Linked DNA regions of Lepisosteus oculatus. The protein of the gene in region 2 purifies or fractionates together with the protein of the main gene of each other region. This does not show direct contact. Links are inferred from orthologs where the notes say so. Each region holds a gene or a part of one and is shown on either strand. Other genes may lie near its edges.

What was found.
Region 1: the proteins of ptpn12 (region 2) and pstpip2 purify together in Homo sapiens (affinity purification with mass spectrometry; 4 studies listed by BioGRID and IntAct, counting the BioPlex papers as one, with this or other methods). This does not show direct contact. The link is inferred for Lepisosteus oculatus from reciprocal best matches to the Homo sapiens genes PTPN12 and PSTPIP2.

Annotation. Positions count from the first base shown.
Region 1 is NC_090698.1:24,135,469-24,145,272, reverse strand, and holds the start of pstpip2 (proline-serine-threonine phosphatase-interacting protein 2), read right to left. Parts: upstream 3,585-9,804; 5' UTR 3,382-3,584; coding exon 3,349-3,381; intron 1-3,348. UniProt on the Homo sapiens protein: Binds to F-actin. May be involved in regulation of the actin cytoskeleton.
Region 2 is NC_090702.1:34,023,179-34,033,061, forward strand, and holds the start of ptpn12 (tyrosine-protein phosphatase non-receptor type 12), read left to right. Parts: upstream 1-6,138; 5' UTR 6,139-6,405; coding exon 6,406-6,504; intron 6,505-9,883. UniProt on the Homo sapiens protein: Dephosphorylates a range of proteins, and thereby regulates cellular signaling cascades. Dephosphorylates cellular tyrosine kinases, such as ERBB2 and PTK2B/PYK2, and thereby regulates signaling via ERBB2 and PTK2B/PYK2.

The DNA.
Region 1 (9,804 bases), on a different chromosome or scaffold from region 2:
CTTCATTGTTGATAACTGTTATACACTTAGAAATTGTGATTTAGAGCACCCTTAAAAGTATTACCAAACAATGCCTTCCTGATGATATGTACTTTTTTACATGAGTTAGTACTTTTCTAAATCCGAATAAATACCGTGTGTACCGCATTAGACATATAATTTTCTTTCCAATCTTCAACAATTTTGTTAATATGAATATAATAAAGAAAACAAATCCAATTTGGAAAACAAAACTTACATCTAGCAAACAACATGAAGAAATGAGAACTGAAATCTAAGATGTCCAGTGAAACATGATGACTTTTACTCTTAATGTTTACTTCTATTTAATTTTTTTTTGCAGTCCAAAAGGCTGAGCAACAGCACATCAGTATTCCATCGCTTTACCTTGTAATATTTTGGAACGGTACTTTGTTGATATTTTTAAATTGGCTATTTCGGTAATGCTCAGCAGAACCCATGGAAATTGTTAAATCAGATTCCAGTCCTCATAAATTATAACATGTACAGAACCTGAAGTGGGGTTAAAATGTAGAAGAAATGAGGCCAGAAATATTTGTTCCTTAAAAGTAAAAAAGGGGTCAATAGTGCCTAAACTAGAGAATAAGCCCTATCTCATGTTTACAGAACGTGAAACATTAACTTGTTCAAGATTTCATTGTGTAGTTTCCTTTTCTGTGTAGTGTATTTGATATAATCTTTTAGAGGTTTCAGATTGCTGTATTTGTAAGGTAACTTGTACTACTTAAAGAAGTAGACTGTTAATAAATCTATAGTTGTGAACAGTTATAGAGGTGCTCGAGTAGAAATTATGTTACATAAGAACTGGTAGACACATAACATACTGATAAAAATACTAATGTGTACACATAAACTGTGTTACCACCTTCTAGCCTGAACTCAACATACAGTATGTCAGAAGCAAACCAAAGCTGCACCTGATTTTTGCTGCTTTAAGTAAAGCTGCTGGACTAGGGGGTACAGTAGCACTCTTCCTTTTTGTTCAAAATTTCCAAACCAGTACTCCAAAACTGGTGGACAAGGACACTGTGTGGTAGGTGGTGCTGTCCTTTACATGAGACACTGAACCAAGGTCCAGAGTACTTGCCTTTTAAGATGTCATTGCGGCATTCTTAACATTCCCCTTGAATTTAATTGGCAAAGTCACTTCTCACTTCTCCACCTGACCTGCTGTGCAGTCACACATGGTGGTGCACTTCAGTGAATGAAGGGGGTCCATTCATGCACGTAAAGCATTGTGTGGAAGTGTATTAGGACTCAGTGCGGTGACTGTGTTACAGAAGTGATGTCGTCCCCTTGAAAACTAGATTGTTTCGATTTCTACTCTGGGACACATCTTGGTCTCTTGGGGACGGGGATTGTCAACTGTCCAATCAAATCCAGCTTTAATATAAGATAATCCTTCTGTTTATATAGCGCTTTTCTGGGCACACCACTCAAAGCACTTTCGAGGTAATGAGCACATACCCCCACCACCAATGTGCAGCACCCACCTGCAGCCGTTGTGCACCAGTGCCTCATCACACATCAGCTATCAGTGGGGAGGAGATCAGAGTAATGAAGCCAATTCATAGATGGGGATTATTAGGAGGCCATGACTGGTAAAGGCCAATGAGAAACTTGGCCAGAACACCACGGTAACACCCCTACTCTTTTTGAGAAACACCTTTGGATTTTTAAGGACCACAAAGAGTCAGTTGGTTTTATGTCTCATTCGAAGGATGGCACCCTTTTTCCAGTATAGTAGTAGTAGTGTTACACTATACTGGGGCATTAGGACCCACACAGAGCGCAGGGTGAGCGCCACCTACTGGCCCCACTAACACCTCTTCCAGGAGCAACCTTAGCTTTTCCAGGTCTCCATCCAGATACTGGTCAGGCCCACACCTGCTGAGCTTCAGTGGGCTGCCATTACAAGGTTGAGTTACAGGGTGATATAGCTGCTGAGCACAGCTCCATGCATTACGTATGCAAGATATTTATAATAAAATGTATTATGTCAGATCTAAAGCCATTTACATCACTGTAACTTACCATACCCTGTCAGCAATTACCCTCTTACCATGGTTCTAATGTGAAGTTCCTTAAAGAATCACAATGAGTTAGAGTCTAACCCATCAGATTGAAATTACACGACGGAGGGAGCCAATTGACTTGAACAACATGTGGGAGGAAACTGGAGTTAGCCCACACAAAGCAGTGGTGAACATGCAAACTCCACACACATGGATTTAGACTTCAACCCAAAATTTTGGAGCTGTGAAGCAACAGTACTACCCGCTGTGCAGTCCATGAAAATCCACATGTGTTACAATTGCAAAATAATTAATTCTACTAATTACTATGAAGCAAATGAGCTGCAAAAAATAGGCATGTGAGTGATACATTAAATTTTTCATCAGTAAACGTGAACAGTTAAATGATGAGAATAAAGGCTTGGGTTATACCTAGAAAGTTAATTACTAAGAAAAAGATAAAACATAAATAAAAGACTCGTATGGGCATATTTAGGATTGGAACACTGTTGGATACTGAATATACTGTATAAAATGACCTTTTTAAAGGATGTAAGACAGTTGTGATTTGGTATTACCTAAACCGTGTTTTCCTTTCATGTCTCTCTGCAATAGCCTTGTTGCATATGCGGGTCATAATTTCAAACTCCAGGTCACCTTGTTCGTGAAGTGTAAGGTTTGTGCAATGTGAAGTGAGAAGTGAGCGAGGCGAAGTGAAGAATTTGGTAAAGGATCCTAGAGTGTTGTATCTACCTTTTCCCAATCTACAGTAACATTTCAGCAACTCCAGCAGACAGATTATCTTCTCTCGTTGTGTGCCAGCTCCATAAAGAAAAATATTTTCAAGCTGAATCATTAGCTCCGGGCACAAAACAGAAACAAGCAAGACGGTGAGCAGCAAATTATTTCTATATGCAATTTTAGAGGAGGATGTTAAATAATATCAAATACATATAATCTATATAGAATCTGTGAATAAAAGCGCCAGACTTTTAAATAAAGTCCCACAAAAAGTAATATGGAACAAACACATACGAATATGTTTCAAGCAGGTTAATAGGTTTTGCATATTTACTGAAGAAAATGCATAAAAGCTTTCTTTCGCCGATATCATTAGAAATTAGAAATAATAAATCACAATTTTCTTTTCACCTTCAGTTTCATTAACTGAACGTACGCAGAGGTCAACTGCCAAATCATTTCCCGACTGGTCAACTTGGCAACACATTTTAAAGTGCAATAAAGTGCTTGACAAAAGTATTACAGAATCGACAGTCATTTGGGTTTAAGTAAAGAACATAAATCCACTTACCCAGAAATTGCCTTTAAAGTGTAATTCTTTCATTTTGATTTAGATGTCAAAAGAAAAAGGTAACTCTTGTATCTTTTCATGTATGTGTTTCCTTTTATGTAACAGTAGCCGTTACAGTTCCCTTTTATGTAACAATGCAAAGGGAATAGGATTTTAATATCACAGCCAAGGAAATATTTCTGCTCCGTTTAAGGAGTGAGCTCTTACTGTAGCAGTAGTTCCTCAAACTGTTTTCTTTTTAAACCGTATTTCCGGGTCCTAAAGTCCGTCACAGCAGTAGTTAATAATAGTGATGGCACACCGACACGCAATTTCTTAAATTAGAAACCCATATTCAAAACTCTTGCATACAGTTAGGCTTCACAGTGATTCTCGAGAACAGGTTAAAGCTATTTTTTTCTTAACCAAGTTCTAATTGATCAGATTCAGAGTTTTAAGTACATCTAAGGAATTAATTGTTAATTTTACATAAATGCTGAGCTCCTTGTAGAATTTTTATAGAGAAATTTGAATATAGTTACTTACAAAGAATATGTCCACCCTGTGAGTCAAACAAAACGCATGTTATTTACTCTTGAAGTGTTTCATATTAATAACAGTTAAAGAATGAAGTGTAATACTATTTTTGTAAAAATCTGTTCCATGCCACATCCAAACCTTTACCTCAAAATATTTTTGGTATCAAATCTGAAAATCATAATATATTTATTATTTTACAAAAACAATTTGAGAGTTTATCTGCATTCTACAAGATAATAGTTTTGATGTACTGACAGCAGATGAAGTCAAACGTGACTGGGTAACAAAAAGGTATCAAAGTACACAGTGCTGGCATGACACTGCACTTCTCTATCAAGGTATTGTTACTCCTACTTTCCCATCCCTTACATTTTCCCCATTTATATATCGTTTTTAAATTGTTTCATAATGCAAATAACTGTGCATGTGGGGATATGAAAACAAATGAGAACTTTATAAAGGCTTTTATTGGTAATGTTTTTTTTTCTAGATCACCATAATATCTTCTGTACTGAACAAATAGACTTTTACATTTAAATTCGTGACTTTCCCTTTGGGTCTCTGTTATTTTTTCTCTGTTTCCTGTTCTTCTTCATATATTGTATCAGTAGTTCACTAATGGAAAGGGAATTACATTTTAATATTACATGGAATATAATATTCCAAGAGAGCTGCTGCAAGGGTGAAGATGGAGAGATGAGAGGAGTGTGAGAGAAACACCCAAAGGAATGTCCAGAAGATGAGACAGTGTATATATAGAAGAGAAGAATTAATCAAGATAAGGATCTTCTGTTATACACTCCATGTAGTTTTTTTCCAGAGAAACATAACCCTTAGTGCAATCCTTAATAGTCATGTGTGTCACGGGAGTCGGTCCCGTGTAGTGTGTATTTAGGACCCTATGCAGATGGTATAATACGGAAGTGGCTGGAGCAGGGCTACAGGGAAAACACGGTGAGGAGTAGAAGGGATGGCGAACAGGGGGCGGTGCTGACAGTGATCAGGTGCAATGGGGGAGAGCAGGCAAACAAGTCCAAAAACAATCCAATGTAGGAAATCCGGGAGCAGTCCAAAATCCCAAACCAGGTGATCCATCCAAGACGAGACGAGAGTAAAAACAAGAACAGGATCTGGGACTATGAAGTAAAAAACGGAATGATGAGGCCAGGCGCTCCGAGCCCCGGATTCAGCTAAGTCAGGATTCCAACCAGTGTCACGGATGTTGGAAGGGACGAACCATGGAATGGCAGGAGAACGGAAAAAGACCCTATGAAAGGTGGCGGAACGGGGAGTTAGCCCGGGTTCAGCAGTGCAAAGAGTTCTGGAGTGCCGTATAGAAACCTATGCCCTCAGGCCACAGACAGAGCAGCGACCTGGTGCTAGGTGGGTCTCAGGACATCTGAACGTCAATGCTGAGCGAAACAGAATAAGTGACCCGGAAATATATAACCCCAGAGAGAGAGACACCGGAAAGAGAGGAAACCACAGGAAACTAGGGACAGGACAGAGAAGGAGCCTACAGTACATATAATATTCGGCATTTTTCTACATTAATGTTAATTTGAACGTTTTTTTTCTCTGTGCAACAGCATGGAGAAAATAATGGTAACTTAGAATCGGTGAATGCAAAACAATAGTATACTTTGCACATTTCGCGTGGTAATTACAATCAGGTGATTGAATAATTGGGTAATAAGTAAATAAGTAAAGGCCTGAGTCTGGATAACTTTGTCTTATACAGTATAATGGCTAGAAACTTTGGGAGTTTGATCTGCCCTTAACAAGTTAGTGGAACAACCTCAAATTTCAGTGGACTTAAAAAAACAGAGTAGTTGATGCTGATCAGTCTGGGCAGAGTTATAAAGCAATTTCTATACATTTGGAGCTCTATCCATCAGCTGTCAGACAGATGTCAACAAATGGTGTCGTTACCCAATACCAGTCATCCTGCCAAGATCTTCCCAAGAGCAAGCAGCTAAATAATTTAAGAATCCTAGTGTCACATCTAGGGATCTGCAGGCCTCTCTGTAGCCAGTGTCAGTGTGGCCAAAAAGCTTCCTTCCAACAAAAGAAATTCATTCTGACCATCTAAGCATCGTGTTGGAAAATTCATAGCTTGGGGCTGATTTGTTGCCTCCGGATTCAGACAGCTTGCAATCATCGATGGAACCACGATATCTATATTTATGTTTAGTAAATTAAAGAGCAGAATAACAGGTCATTCATTCGTCAACTGAAGCAGAGCCGAAATAAGGTCATGCAGCAAGAAAATGCCCCTAAACAAACGAGCAATAGCAAAAGAAGAAAGTTTGCATTTTGGATGGGGCATGTCAAAGTATGGATCTAAAACCACAATGAAATGTTAGGGTAGAGTCGGAAGCAAACTCTTCATGCAAAGAAACCATCAAATTTCACTGACCTGAAGCATGTAAGGACAAATGGGCCAACATTCCTGAAAACTGATGCAAGAGACTGATAAAAAGTTGCAGGAAATGTCTAATGTTGCTCAAGGAGGTGCCACCAGTTACTGTGATAACTTACTTATTCACATTAGGATATTTTCTATAAAATAATTTTGTTAATTAAATAATCCACACATTTCTTATGTCTTTGCATTATACATTGATTTCAGGTTATCCATCCATACAGTTTCTAGCTACTTTATCCAATTCAGGGTTGCAGGGCAACCAGAGCCTATCCTGGTAATCAGTGGGTATAAAGCAAGATAAACCCTGAATGGAATACAATTTAATCGTACGGAACACACAGATATAAACATACACACAACGGGGCCAATATTCCTAGAAGCCAGTTAACCCACCAGTATGTTTTGGACTCTGAGAGGAAACCAGAGCACCCAGAAAAACCCCACATGAACATGGAGAGAACTCTCAAATTCCACACAGGTAGCACCCCAGGTCTGGAACTGAACCAAAGGCCCTACCACTGTGAGACAGTAATGCTAACCACTGCACCACCACACTGCCCACGTAATTATGTTAAGTCTAAGAGACTATGAGCCAGACTAGAGGGCTCACAAACCTTTTTCTCCATGGAATTGTAGTATTTCATAGGCTTTTATTGTAACCACTGCTAACATTGCTTGTTAAAAAAATTCCGTAATGCAGTTAAACAAGATATACTCTTTCTAAATCCATGTTATCTGTGAAAATATGATTAAAATGGATATAACACTGTTTTTTTCTAATTAGTATGACCCCAGTCCAGAGTACCTGCTTGTAGATTCTTGTTAAAGTATTGTATAACATCCTTCATTTCTTTAAATACTATAGCAGAAAAAGCTAAAGTACTGTCGGCGCATAGCTGTATCTATACTGATGGAAAAAAGAAATGCAACATCTCCTACTCCACACCTATCCCATCTATGTGGAACAGGCTGAAGAGTGACTCATCCATGAAGAGGATCTGTTGCCACTGCTGATGAGTCCATCGCAGCCTCTGTCTGGCCCAAGCCAGGTGGCTGTCATCTAGGAGATGTGAGCAGAGGGGCTCTAACAGGTCGCCTTCCTCTAAGGCCAGCAGCATGGAGCCTCACTGTCCTGTCACTGACGCAAGCAATGTGTCTGCTGGCAGTTTCAGCAGCAGTGTGGGTGGCAGATCTGAAACGATCTCTCAGATGGACCAGTCTGATGTCTCTCTCCTGCTCTGGTGTGGTCACTCGAGGGCGACCGGATCTTGGATGGTCATCTATCCTGCCCGTCTGCTGAAACCTTCTATTCAGCCGGGACACAGTGGAGCAGCTTACTCCATAGTGTCTGGCAACACTGGCACATGACATGCCTGCTTGCAGCATGCCAATGGCCCTCTCCCTTGCTTCTGGTGACATTCAAGGCATTATGGAATGCACAAAAAACTACTGTGTGTCCTTTTTTCTTGCAGTGACCTAAGTTTTCAATTAAGGCCTTTTTTAAAGGTGACCTCATTGGGTAAAATTACACCTAACGAGCTTTCATGTGATGGGCAAGTTGCAATGCCTCACTGTACAAGCTGTATTGCTGGTCAGAGGGCTTAAAACAAATTGATGACTTTTTTATGAAGGTACATAAGCTATAACTATAGTATTCTCATTCCAGAAAATGTTGTGTTTATTTTTATATTCTTTTAAATTTTTAGGACAGATTTAAGATGAGAATAAATTATTAGCATTAATGTTGGGAAAACCATTTTGCCCTAATTCCTAAGAATAAGTGATACAGTACATGCAGAAAATCTAACAAAGATGACCAATTCAAAATATTCACTCAAGAATACTAATAAGACGTGATGAGAAATCTGCATGTCATGAGGAACTTGAGTAACACCAGTTTTATCATGGACGGTTACTGGTGTAAAGCACATATTAGTTTTACAGTAAATTACCAAGTGTATTGAGCGATGCCTAATGTGATAGATTATGCAGGAGAGGGTGTGTATTCAAAAGAACTGAAAAGCAATGACCAACCTATTTGAGTCCAGGGTGTAATAGGATAGAATAGATATACCTGAACCACAGGACAGCAGGCCTTCCCATGAGTGAAAATGAGAACTGTTCTGTGTCAAAATCTCTGTTGCAATGTTTACAGGAAGTTTACAGGAGAACAACTTTAGTGTTCTCAGGTTAGGAATTGATTAGTTTCTTTTTAAGGTTGTATTATTGAAATAAGGTCCGTTTGTTGAAATTATTTTCATTTGATGACTACTGTCAATGGATATGCTATATTAAAAGGGGAAAATGGTCGTTTATTCTACCATTTATTTAGGAAAGATGTATGATTTTGGAGTGTTTTTTCAGATTATAAAGAAAAAATCTATGGAGACATGCTGATATCTTACTAAATAAAATGATTATTTGATACCAATAAATTAAGAAACACCTACTGAATTATATGCTTTAATTTATTATGCTAAGATAGTTCCCAGCAATGTGGGAAGTTGTTTAACCTTTAACTAAATAACTTTTAGCATATTTAGACATACACAATGTATCTGTATATACTTACCTATTGCATGTACATATACACTCTCACATTGTATGCTGTATGTATTCTGTAAATATTGTATCTGTAAATTCTATAAATATCTGTAAACACTATACACACATAAAGCAACTGTAAACAGACCTAACAAAGCTGAGAAATAAAATAACTGCCGACTTCCTTACAGACAGCTTTACAGAAAGATCATAGTCAGGAAACAGAAAATTAAAGGAAGTTCAGTCATTTTGATACACTTATCCAGACCAATTAATGGAATGTTTTATTTGTATGTTCTTCATGAAGGAATAAGTCTCCGCTGAACCCTGTTTCCATCCAGGGTGAGGACATAGAGGGCGTATATTCCTACAAGTACTTAGGGGTACACCTGGATGATAAGCTGGAGTGGTCTGGTAACACTGACGCCCTGTACAAGAAAGGTCAGAATCGACTATTTTTTAGGAGGCTCAGGTCCTTTGGTGTGTGTGGAACACTGCTACACATTTTTTATGAATCAGTGGTGGCAGCGGCCATCTTCTACGCTGTTGTGTGCTGGGGCAGCAGCATCATGACAAAATATGCAAATAGGCTCAATAAACTCATCAAGAAGGCTGGCTTTGTGTTGGGGATGAGCCTTGACCCCATGGAGGTGGTGGCTGAGAGGAGAATGCTGACCAAGCTCACAGCCATCATGAACAACACCTCTCATCCACTTCATGGGACTGTTACTGGGCAGCGGAGCTCTTTTAGCAACAGACTGCTCCAGCTACGTTGTTCAAGGGAATGTTTCCGCAGGTCTTTCCTCCTGGCGCCTGTCAGGGTGTATAATGCTGCCCTGGGCTAGGACTGTTAGCCCTTCATTTGCTCCTCTATGGACAGCATGTTTGCTCCATTGTACTTTTTGGACAATCAGTCTGTATAAACCTCTGTCTTTTGTTTTATAACTATTCTGATGTCTGTTTTT
Region 2 (9,883 bases):
GGATGTAAAACAATATACTCTTTTTCTCACTTTCTTTTTTTAATTTCTTTTGTTCAGTGCACATGAGAAAAATAAACTTTGAAAAAATGTTTTTTTCTACGTGCCATTTCTTAACAATAATTTGAAAATTCTGTTCACAACCCATGAAGTGTTGTCAATTTTTTATTCTCTTGCCCAGAGCAGAGTTGTAGTTCAGTTTTCTTATAGGTCTACAGAAATTTCAACTTAAATCTAATCTTGCTTCTTGTAAGGTCACTTATATCAGTCTTCTTTCCCCTAGCATGACTGAGTGAGGGAAAGGCCAGGTGTCCTACAGATGTACAGATTCAGACACATGAAACATTATATGTACTGGTATTTATGAACATACTGTATGTACTGTACCACATGTACCATTTCACTCATAATGTTCCCAATGTTGTTACATGTAACTATACCTTGTATGCCAATGATGTCTATGCCTATAAACAAGCCAACCCGTTTTTATGGGTTTAGCCATTTAGCCAGCTACATTTTTAGAAGCATAAAAAATAAGAATTGTAGTTTCTCATCAATTTCTGAGATGAGTGCTTTAGGTGTTACAGAAAAACAATTACAAGTGAAGCCTTTTAGCCTATCTCGCTCACTGGGTCTTAACTGTGATCACAACAGAGGTATAGTTACAGAGTGTTTTTACCAGAAAACCAGAACACATCAATAAGATAAAGGACAGCAACTACATTCTGTGCTGTGAAAAAGTTTGTAACTTAACAAGTGGTGTGTTAAGACAGTAATCACTTATTGACAATTTGGCAAATATTGTGAATGAGTGATATAGTCTTTAAGTATTGAATTTCATGAATATCACCCAATTATGTGTCCTAAGAAGCCTTTTTTTGCATTACCATTTCTCTTTCTTGCTAATAATTCCATCATAAAATTGTTTTTTTTATCTTCACGTCAGAGATGGAAAGTGTGTAGCAGTTGAAGAAGAGCACATCAGAAGCTTGTTTCTGAGACACATATTCCTGTGGTCAGGTTTGAGAATTTTGTCGGGAACCTAAAATTTGTTGAAACAGACTGTTTTTTGTTTGCCTGAGAAAGAACAGTGTACTCAGAATCTGTGTTAGGGAAACACACGGAACTTGCACACAAAATGATTTTGTAGCAAGGAATTACTTTGCATGCCCACACCAGCGAATTATTTCTGTAATGTCAATACTTGCTTCAGCTGTCTTTCAAAACACGCTAATGTAATTGGAAAAAATAATAAACTGCCCTGTGAACAAATCTTGAATAGTGATTCATAATTATACAATACACTGCTGGTGGAAGCCGTACCCCGGTTTCTCAGTCTCAAAATAACAGCTGCTTGTTTGGGTTTCGCCAGCAGTTCTGTATCTGGTGAGGGGGTACTCAAAGATAGTCTGGATAATAAGCGGTGTCTCATGTTTTCTTTGATACTTCAAGTATGGGCATGATAAACAGAACAGGGCTTTTAAATCTCCACCCTGATTTCCCTTTTTTTCAGTCTGGCCTAGCATGAAGCTAACCCTGAGAAACTTAAGCTGAAAGCCAAGCAAAAACGATCCCTGGTAATGATGAAACAGATTCCACTTTGTTAAACACTACTGTTCACTCTCATATCAGAAGAAACATGTGGGTCATGTGGAAGAGTAAGAATAAGAGCCTTTCATGCTGTCAAACAAATTAACAATGGTATACAGTGCAAAAACTAAGTATGTGCAAATCATAAGAAAGCTTTCATTGGGAAAGCATGGTAAAGCAAGAGGGAAAATTAGAAAGTTTTGCTGAAGGAAAAACTTTCATACTAAAAAAAATTTGTATTTTTCTGCTTTGCTTTTTCAATTTAAAAATATGAGAAGAACCAATGTCCTCTTACATGCAGCATGATTCACGGACATGTATTCTTTGTACATTTTTAAATATGTTATGCTTGGGGAGATGATGCAGTGGCTCTGTGGCTAAAGATCTATGCCTGTGGCTGGAAGGTTGCTGGTTCATATCCTGCAGCTGGTGGAGGAATCCTACTCTGGTAGGTCCCTCAGCAAGGCCCTTAACCCCAACTGCTCCAGGCGTGCCATATAAATGTCTGACCCCGAGCTTCTGTCCATGTTTTTTTTTCATTTGTGCAATACAAATTGTAACAAAGATCTGTTATTGAATATATATAGCACAAATAGACTGTCTGAAAAAATATTCAGGATCATTTTGATCACCCATCTACCAATAGAAATTGACTCACAGTGCCTGTGTCTTTTGGGCCAGTAGCCTGCATGCACCTTAATCTGGCCCTGTGTGTAGCCTGTTCCACACTCCCGCAGCCTTTTGCATAAAGAAGTGCCTCCTGTTTTCAGCTTTAAATGCCCTTCACATCGTTTCCTCTTGTGTCCTTGGCATTGTGTTTCACTGTTCATTTTGAAGCTCTTCACTTGGTTGATTTGCCAGTGCCGTTGATTGGATCCCCTTCTACTCCTCTCTGTTCAAATCTGAATATGTTTGATTCCTTCAGCAGCAGTATAGGACACAGAATACACTTGGAAGCTATTCTCTGGACTTATGTTGGATTCAGTATGATGCAATGATCACCTGACTCACACACACATGGTATTTTATGTGCATATGGTGCATATGGTATTTTATGTGCTAGGTGTTTAGGTTTCCATGTACAGTCCATTTTATTCACCCTGAGAGAATGTTATGCAGACTCTAGCAATGTTAAAGAAAGCAGGTCTCCCCCCCTTTTTGGATTTTCTCTATTTAACACAGTTCCCCATGTTTACAGATTGCTAGAAAATTGCAATATAGCAAATGCGCGCTTAGACCTCAGACCAGAAAAGTCTCTAAAACACCATTTTTTTGTTTGGCAATTGTCAGAGAATCACATGAAGTATTGCACTTCTGTAATAATAAGAATACACCTCTAGAAACTGAATACTGTCCTTACCTTGGGCCCCATAGTTAGTACATTTGAACAGGAGAGAACATGCGCAATTAAGTATCATTTTGAAATGTTCTTGATGCCTGTTTCTTTGTTAGGTCTGAAACCAATGATCCTTCGACTTTACAAATACAGACTGGAAGGATCCAGAAGAAGAATACAGTACATGTTAAAAGGTTTTCATATAAAGGTCTGAGACTTACAGCATTTATGCTTTGTATTCTCCTTTCATGCGCTCACTTCAGACATCTATTTTTTAGCACACTGTCCCAAGCATTAGACAGTGCTCCTCTGTCTTTCGCTGAAGCCCACTTGAGGAGTGGAGGGGGTTGTCACAAGACGAGAACACTTTCCCTGGGGGAAGATGATAAATGAAGCATAGGGGTGAGCTGGGTATCTCTTATTTCCCTGGAGGGAGGCTTGTCTCATGATAACCATCCAGCAGCCAAATATTCTTGGTAAACACGGGGAGAAAACGGAGAATACAATAACGTTGTTCAATAATCTAGCATGAATGAAAAAAGTGAAAATCATTCGGCTCAGAAGCTGTTCCATTTCTCCCCCCCCCCCGAATCTTATTCATTGTAAAAGGAAGAAAATCCCACTCAAGTGATATTGATTGGAGGACCTATTGAATTTAAAGGATCTGAGCTCATGCGCTTATTTCAACCCCCAAAGCCCCTATTTTGGATTTCTTAATATACGATCCGCAGCTACTAACTACCTACAATGTATTTCCTTTCGAGGTGGACTACAAGCAAATCTGACGTTAGCTAGAACATATTGTGACGCATACGGCCTCCATTGCTTGCGAGAGCTGGCTTACCAGAGAAATGACGTCACCGCCCTTCCCTGTGGGTAGCAGGGACCGCAGCCGCTGGGCTGATGGGAGATTTCCCTTTGGCTCAAGAGGCTGGGTCCCTGTTGAGTGATGCCGGAGGCCTGGGTTTGAGTTCCTGACGGTGGGGGGCCGACCTGATGTGGCAGGGGCGCCCTGAACCCCGAAGCGTTACAATATGTAGCTGTGACAGATTAGACATGTTGCACTAAATGGATGAAGGTAAGTTCAGAGGAGCTGATACAGGAGGAACAGTAACCCATGTGGTTGTGTTACCTTTGCAGGCCAAGAATGTTGCCTGAGTTCATTTGAACACCACTCACGTCACAGGATTTGGATAGCCGGGGAGGCACACATTGACTGCACAAAAGAAGCTTTGTTTGGATAAACTCCCTTTTGAGATCTTTAAAGATTGAGACATGTTGTTAAGAAATAACAGGAATTCCTGTGTTCTCTTTAACCCTAAATATATTTATACCTGTAAACACCTTAGCAAAACCTACAGCTAAGCACTATGTGCAAGCAGTGTCTAATCATAGTCAAGTATAGTCCATAATACACCACTGTCTTGTAATGCTGTTTGAGATGTTGAAATTATAAATTCAATTCAACAGTAAAATACCATGAAAGCTGTGCTGTTCAGAGATTTTTCTACAATAGTTGTATTAAATATGTTTATTTCCATCGGCTTCTGTTTCATATATGAGGTTATTTAAAATGATCTATCATAAACATGACCTTGGTTCTACAAATCTAGGAGACAGTTGGGAAAGTTATTGTGGCAAATACCATAACTCATGAAATATAAAGAAGGCGCGTTGTAACAGCTATTTTATCAGCACCTGGTTAAACCCAGACTTCAGCTACATTCTAAGTTGTTATTACATAGGCACTGTGAATTAAGGGAGAGGATTTTGAATCATTTAATCAGGTCATCTCATAGTCTTCTCTGTTTAAGACCAAAAAGGTTCAGGTTTTTTAGGACATTCCCTTGACTTGATTCCAGGGCAGCAATATTCTTTTTCTGTGCCATAGTGACCAAACGTCAAACGTACACGTAATGAACTGTAGAAAATCACATGCTTTTAATAGAAAATCCATTTATTTAAATTATGTACTTATACCTACATATCCTAGCATGATGTTCTTTTATTGATTCTTCAGTTATCTAATGTTAATTTAAGGAAGCAAGTCTAGGAGTAACTCTTATTGCAGTCTGTGTCAACAGTCTCAAGGCCTGGTTTCTATGACCAAGATTAACTAAATCACCTGTCCTGGATTTAAAATAAAGCAGTCCAAGTCGCTAATCGGGATTTTGTGAAACCGCCGTCAAAACAACTTTTTTTTTTTATCAACAACTCCTTCAATGGTTACTACGTGGATTAATGTACACTGGATTCACTGCAATTCATTCAGGATCGCTATTAACAATGTTCTGCAACAAAATATTAAAAAAGGAATCAACCCATTTATCAAACTTTGAAACGCCAGCCCTCACATCATACAAAGAGACGGTGGGAGAGCGCAACGAACGATATCCCGTTTCGTAATCAAACTACGTGCCGTCGAAGTCGCGAAAGCGGGCGAGAGGAATGCTCCGCAGCTCGACTCCGACTGGGGAGACAGGGCGGGGTTGTCACGTCACGGCTCAGGAGCCTGATCCACGTGGCGAGCTGCAGACACCAAACAAGCGAAGCACAAAGCTCCGTCTCCAGGACGGTGTACTGCATGTTTATTGATTTATGGTAAATTAACGTTATTTTTAATCAATCTACTTAACTTGCATGTTCATTTTGTTTTCCCAACTGGTGTTCATATAGCTACCTCGACATGACCGAGCTTGGAAGTGGAAAGGGTTTATTTTGAACCTTTCTAAACGTTATGCCCTTTTCGTGTCGGGCTCTGAGAACACTGTGAAACCCCCTTTTCCGCGCGACTTAGCTATTCAGCAGACAACACTTGGAGCTGAACACACAAGCCCGAAGAAAGAAAGCGTTCTGAAGTCTTCCACTGAGCCTTTTTTTTCCTCCTCTCTCACAAAAACAACCCTCCCGCAGCCCGTGAGAAAGGTTTTCTGCTCTCCCCCCCCCCCAGTCAGTCACCTCACAGGTGGGTTTGTCCACGGGGCTGACAGGAGCTGCAGCCAATAGCGCGGCGCAGCCCCTGACGGGGTGATTGGCGTGGCCTCCAACCACTTAGAGCCTTGGAGAGAAAATACAGCGCAGGGTCGCCACCTCGACTGACGCACAACATGCGCCAATCAATAGGCGATATTTCCGCGCTGTGGGCCAATCGAAAAGAGTCGTGCTTCGGAGGGGGCGGGCACGGTTCATAGCGGCTTTTGGGCGGTCCTGCGGGGTAGTTTTGTTAGAGTTTAGTTGTGAATGTGGAAGAGAGGAGGTCGGGAGAAGTGGATCTGTGGTTCATGTTTTATTTTATAATACACCAGAAAGCGCATCGATTTGGATTATTTTCTTTAGGGGGCGGAGAACGTAGATATGGGACGATGAAGATTTGCAAGTGATTCTCAGTGGATTTTTTTTTTACATTATTTATTATTTATTCTATTTTTGTTCTGCGGACTCGTTTCTCGTGGGAAAGCTGCCGTTGTCTGGATCTGGAGAGGATGGATCAGGCTGCTGTCCTAAGGAAGTTCATTCAAGGGGTTCAGGCCATGCGGAGCAGGGACCAGAGAGGAGAGGATAACTTCGGCAGTGACTTCATGGTGAGAGAAGACCCCCCCCCCACACACACACACGCACACACACCCTCACACACAGACACACACCCTCTCCCATCCCCCTGCCCCAGGAGCGAAGGAGCTCCACTGCTGTTAGATCAGAACGACCCTTTAAATGGCTCACGGTGCTGCTGAAATGACAGCTGGTCTGAGCGCATTTTACGTGCTGGAGTCCCTCCGAGGCGTCCTGTCCCCGCTGCTCGCGTTTCCCCCTTCGGCTTCCCAGTGTACTTCCCAGGCTCTTGACGCGGCCTAACCCCCGGCTCCCGAAATCTGCTCCCCTTTCCGCGTCCGCAGCAGCCACGGTCGCACCGGGGGCTCGGGGGGCATCTACGCCGAAACTTGCGGCGTGACACACTTTCCATGGTTGCCCGCTTGCGAAATACGGCGTTGAGCGTGCGGTGGAGGAGGATGCGTCAGCGGTGATGATGATGGTGGTGGTAGTGTAGGGGGGCTTCACACCGCCGAAGCCCTTTTATTTCGGCGCTGTTGCATGCAGGCACACCGAGGTATCGGATGGTAAAGGATCCAACTCCGCTCCTGTGGGCGCAGCGCAGCTGGGGGGCTCGGAGGGTGGGGGAGGCGAGGTTCAACCACGCCAGACAGCAGCATCCTGTGAAAAATACATCCAGACACAACCCCACGCTGTGGATCAACCTTGTGTCCCCCCCCCGCAAACGGTGTATTTCTAGGCTAAGTACTTTGACTTGCTGGAAGACATATTAACATTTATACAATTTGGTGAATGTGCGCTGCTAGTTAAGGAGAAAAAAAAAAGTTTACCCCCACCCCAGCTATGCTTTTTACTGATGGGTAACCCGAGATGAACACGAAAGAATAATGCATTGTGCATTCTTTGTAATTGCTGCAACTTGATCGTGTAGTTGTCCGAACACATTCGCCAGAATCGGTGGAATAAGAGATTCCCTCCTGCCCGTGTTTTGATATTCCTCTAGGATGCAGTTTGTTGGCTCTTCAGCGGGCGATGTTGAGATCCCCTTGCCTCGGGTGCTTGCTCTTTCTTTGCGTGCTGTCAGCCCACCGGCGGGTTTGAAGGCTGTTTTGAGAGAAGAGAGTTTTTTGCTCGCTCAAACTGGGCCCAGTTGACTCAAGCGAGATGCGTTGTCTCTTTGTCGATGGAGTAGGGTTAGGAGCAGAGCAAGTGATTCAAGAAAGATGAATGTCACCAGGGATTTTGAGTGGGGGAAAAAAAATGCTGGGAGTTTGCGGATGTTGCGCAAGAAGTTGGGGCGTTGGATCCACTGCGTGCGAGCTCGGATAGGGAAAAGGAAGTGGGGTTAAGGATTCGGGAGATGAGCCATAGAAAACCTCGTTTTTGTTCGAAATTAAAACTTTCTTAAACAACGCGCACATTTTGTCCCAGTCAGCTCTGTATCTTTGTTTTGTTTTTTCGAAATCACCGGCTGGTATTTTCTGATGGAAGACCATAAAAAGCAGAGTATCTTGGTTATTCCCCAGCCCTCACTATTGTTGTTAACTTTGCTCTTTTTAAAACCTACTTCTTCTCCGTTAATATTGTCGATCCGTGTTATGCGTTTAATATCGTATTGGTGGCCATTGCGTGGCTTGTTTTATTTTCTCTGAAGCTGTAATCGCTTCTGTAAAAAAAAAAAACGTGCCCCGAGGCGTTAGACAGTACCAGCCCAGGTTTGCTGTTTCATGCAAACCGCTAGAAATTCCTGCCTGCTATAAACAGGATATTTAAATTGTGGGAAGTTGATTTTTTTTTACACTAAAGAGCTAAGGTTTAGGAAGGAAATAAAAGGGGACATTGACTAATGTTGCTGTGCATTTTCCGCAGTCCATTTAGCCTGGGTTGTGCACTATTGTTCTGTTTTTTTTTTCTCTCTGAGACTTTCCATCTACTGACCACTTATCGCCGCCTGAACGAATTGTATAAAGAAATAAATACAATCCGATACAGTGACCGGTTTAGAGGCCGCCGTTGGTTTTCAGCTGTCATTAAAGGGAATAAACGCTAAGCGAGTAGCGCTGTTTGAGAGGATTCAAATCGATATCCAGAATGTTTCCGACTGCCATCTCTTCAGGGGCTCACAGATTACAGATAACGCTTTGTGCGCAAATGGGAAGATGGGTTGAACCGCTCTGTGAATGAAGCAGCTGTAAGGTAGAGATGAGAAAGAGCACTTAATTTCGGTTTCAGCCCGGCAACGGCGTTGTTAAAAAAAAACTTAAGAAAATTTCTGAAATTACCTCGTCGTTTTTTGACTGCTTCTTGCGAGGGTGTGAAGCTTTTTTTTCTTGGGGGGGGGGGGGGGGCGATAGGGGTCATTCTGTAATTGAAATGTCTGCTGTCTCTTCCTAGATGTAATATATCTACCAGTGCTCTAGAGTCACAAGGGAGGAAAGAAGTAAAAGTGCTCCTGTCCTTAAAGGCATGCTTTGTTGTGGCACATGTCTAAAACAATTTGATAGGCTATTTTGTTCTCAAGACTTCAGTAGTCTATCTTGTTTTTCTTGTCCAGTGAACGTTTAAGTTTTATGCCTTCCTGAGCTCCAAGAGTAGTTCGGAGCCCATCGCTCATTCTTTACACATTTTTAAAATGCTAATACAATTAGAAAAAACAGGTTCAGAATTTAAAGTTTTTTTCTAGTAGCAATTATTTAAAAAAATCTTTTTTTAGGGAATGTGTGAAGAAATTGAATGGAAAGTTAGACCAATGCATATTTCCTACGCATATTAAACGGTGATGAACCTAATGTTTGTTTATTGACCTGGTGGTTTTAAACTTTTTGCATATGTTAAAAAATAGCCACGCAGCAGAATGGTAGACTGTTTATGTTTGGATAGCGACATGAGTGAATTTTATGCACTGGGGTTGGCTAGTGTGCTTCTAACATTTCTGCTGTCAAAATGAAGTTAAAAACACTTTCGTGTTTTAAGAGACTTCTATCCTTCTGAGGAAAAGGGTCTCCAGTGTGCAACGAGTAGTTTGACTGCTGTCTTCTGTGAACTTTGTGTTTCTCTGCAGGAGCCAAGTTCTAATGCTGTATGGTCACCTGTTATTGCAGCAGTGACGTTAAGTCTGACCGGACTCTGGTGCTTCTGTGATGTGGGCGAATCACAATGGGAAACATTTTATTATTCTTTGCAGGCTGTGCAAATTCAGCTTGCTACAGCTTGGATTATACAAAAGTCCCACCTGCATAACCACCAGATGATGTGACAGCTCATGAGAGACCCTGGGGAGAGTGAAGGCCTGAACGAGCTCTGAGGCTGTGAAGCACTTCCTCTCGCGCGGGGGGGGGTGCTCTCGGGCGTCTGCAGGCCTCCACTGCGAGGAGCTCGCGCGGCTGCCTTTCCAGAGCGTCGGTTTGCTAG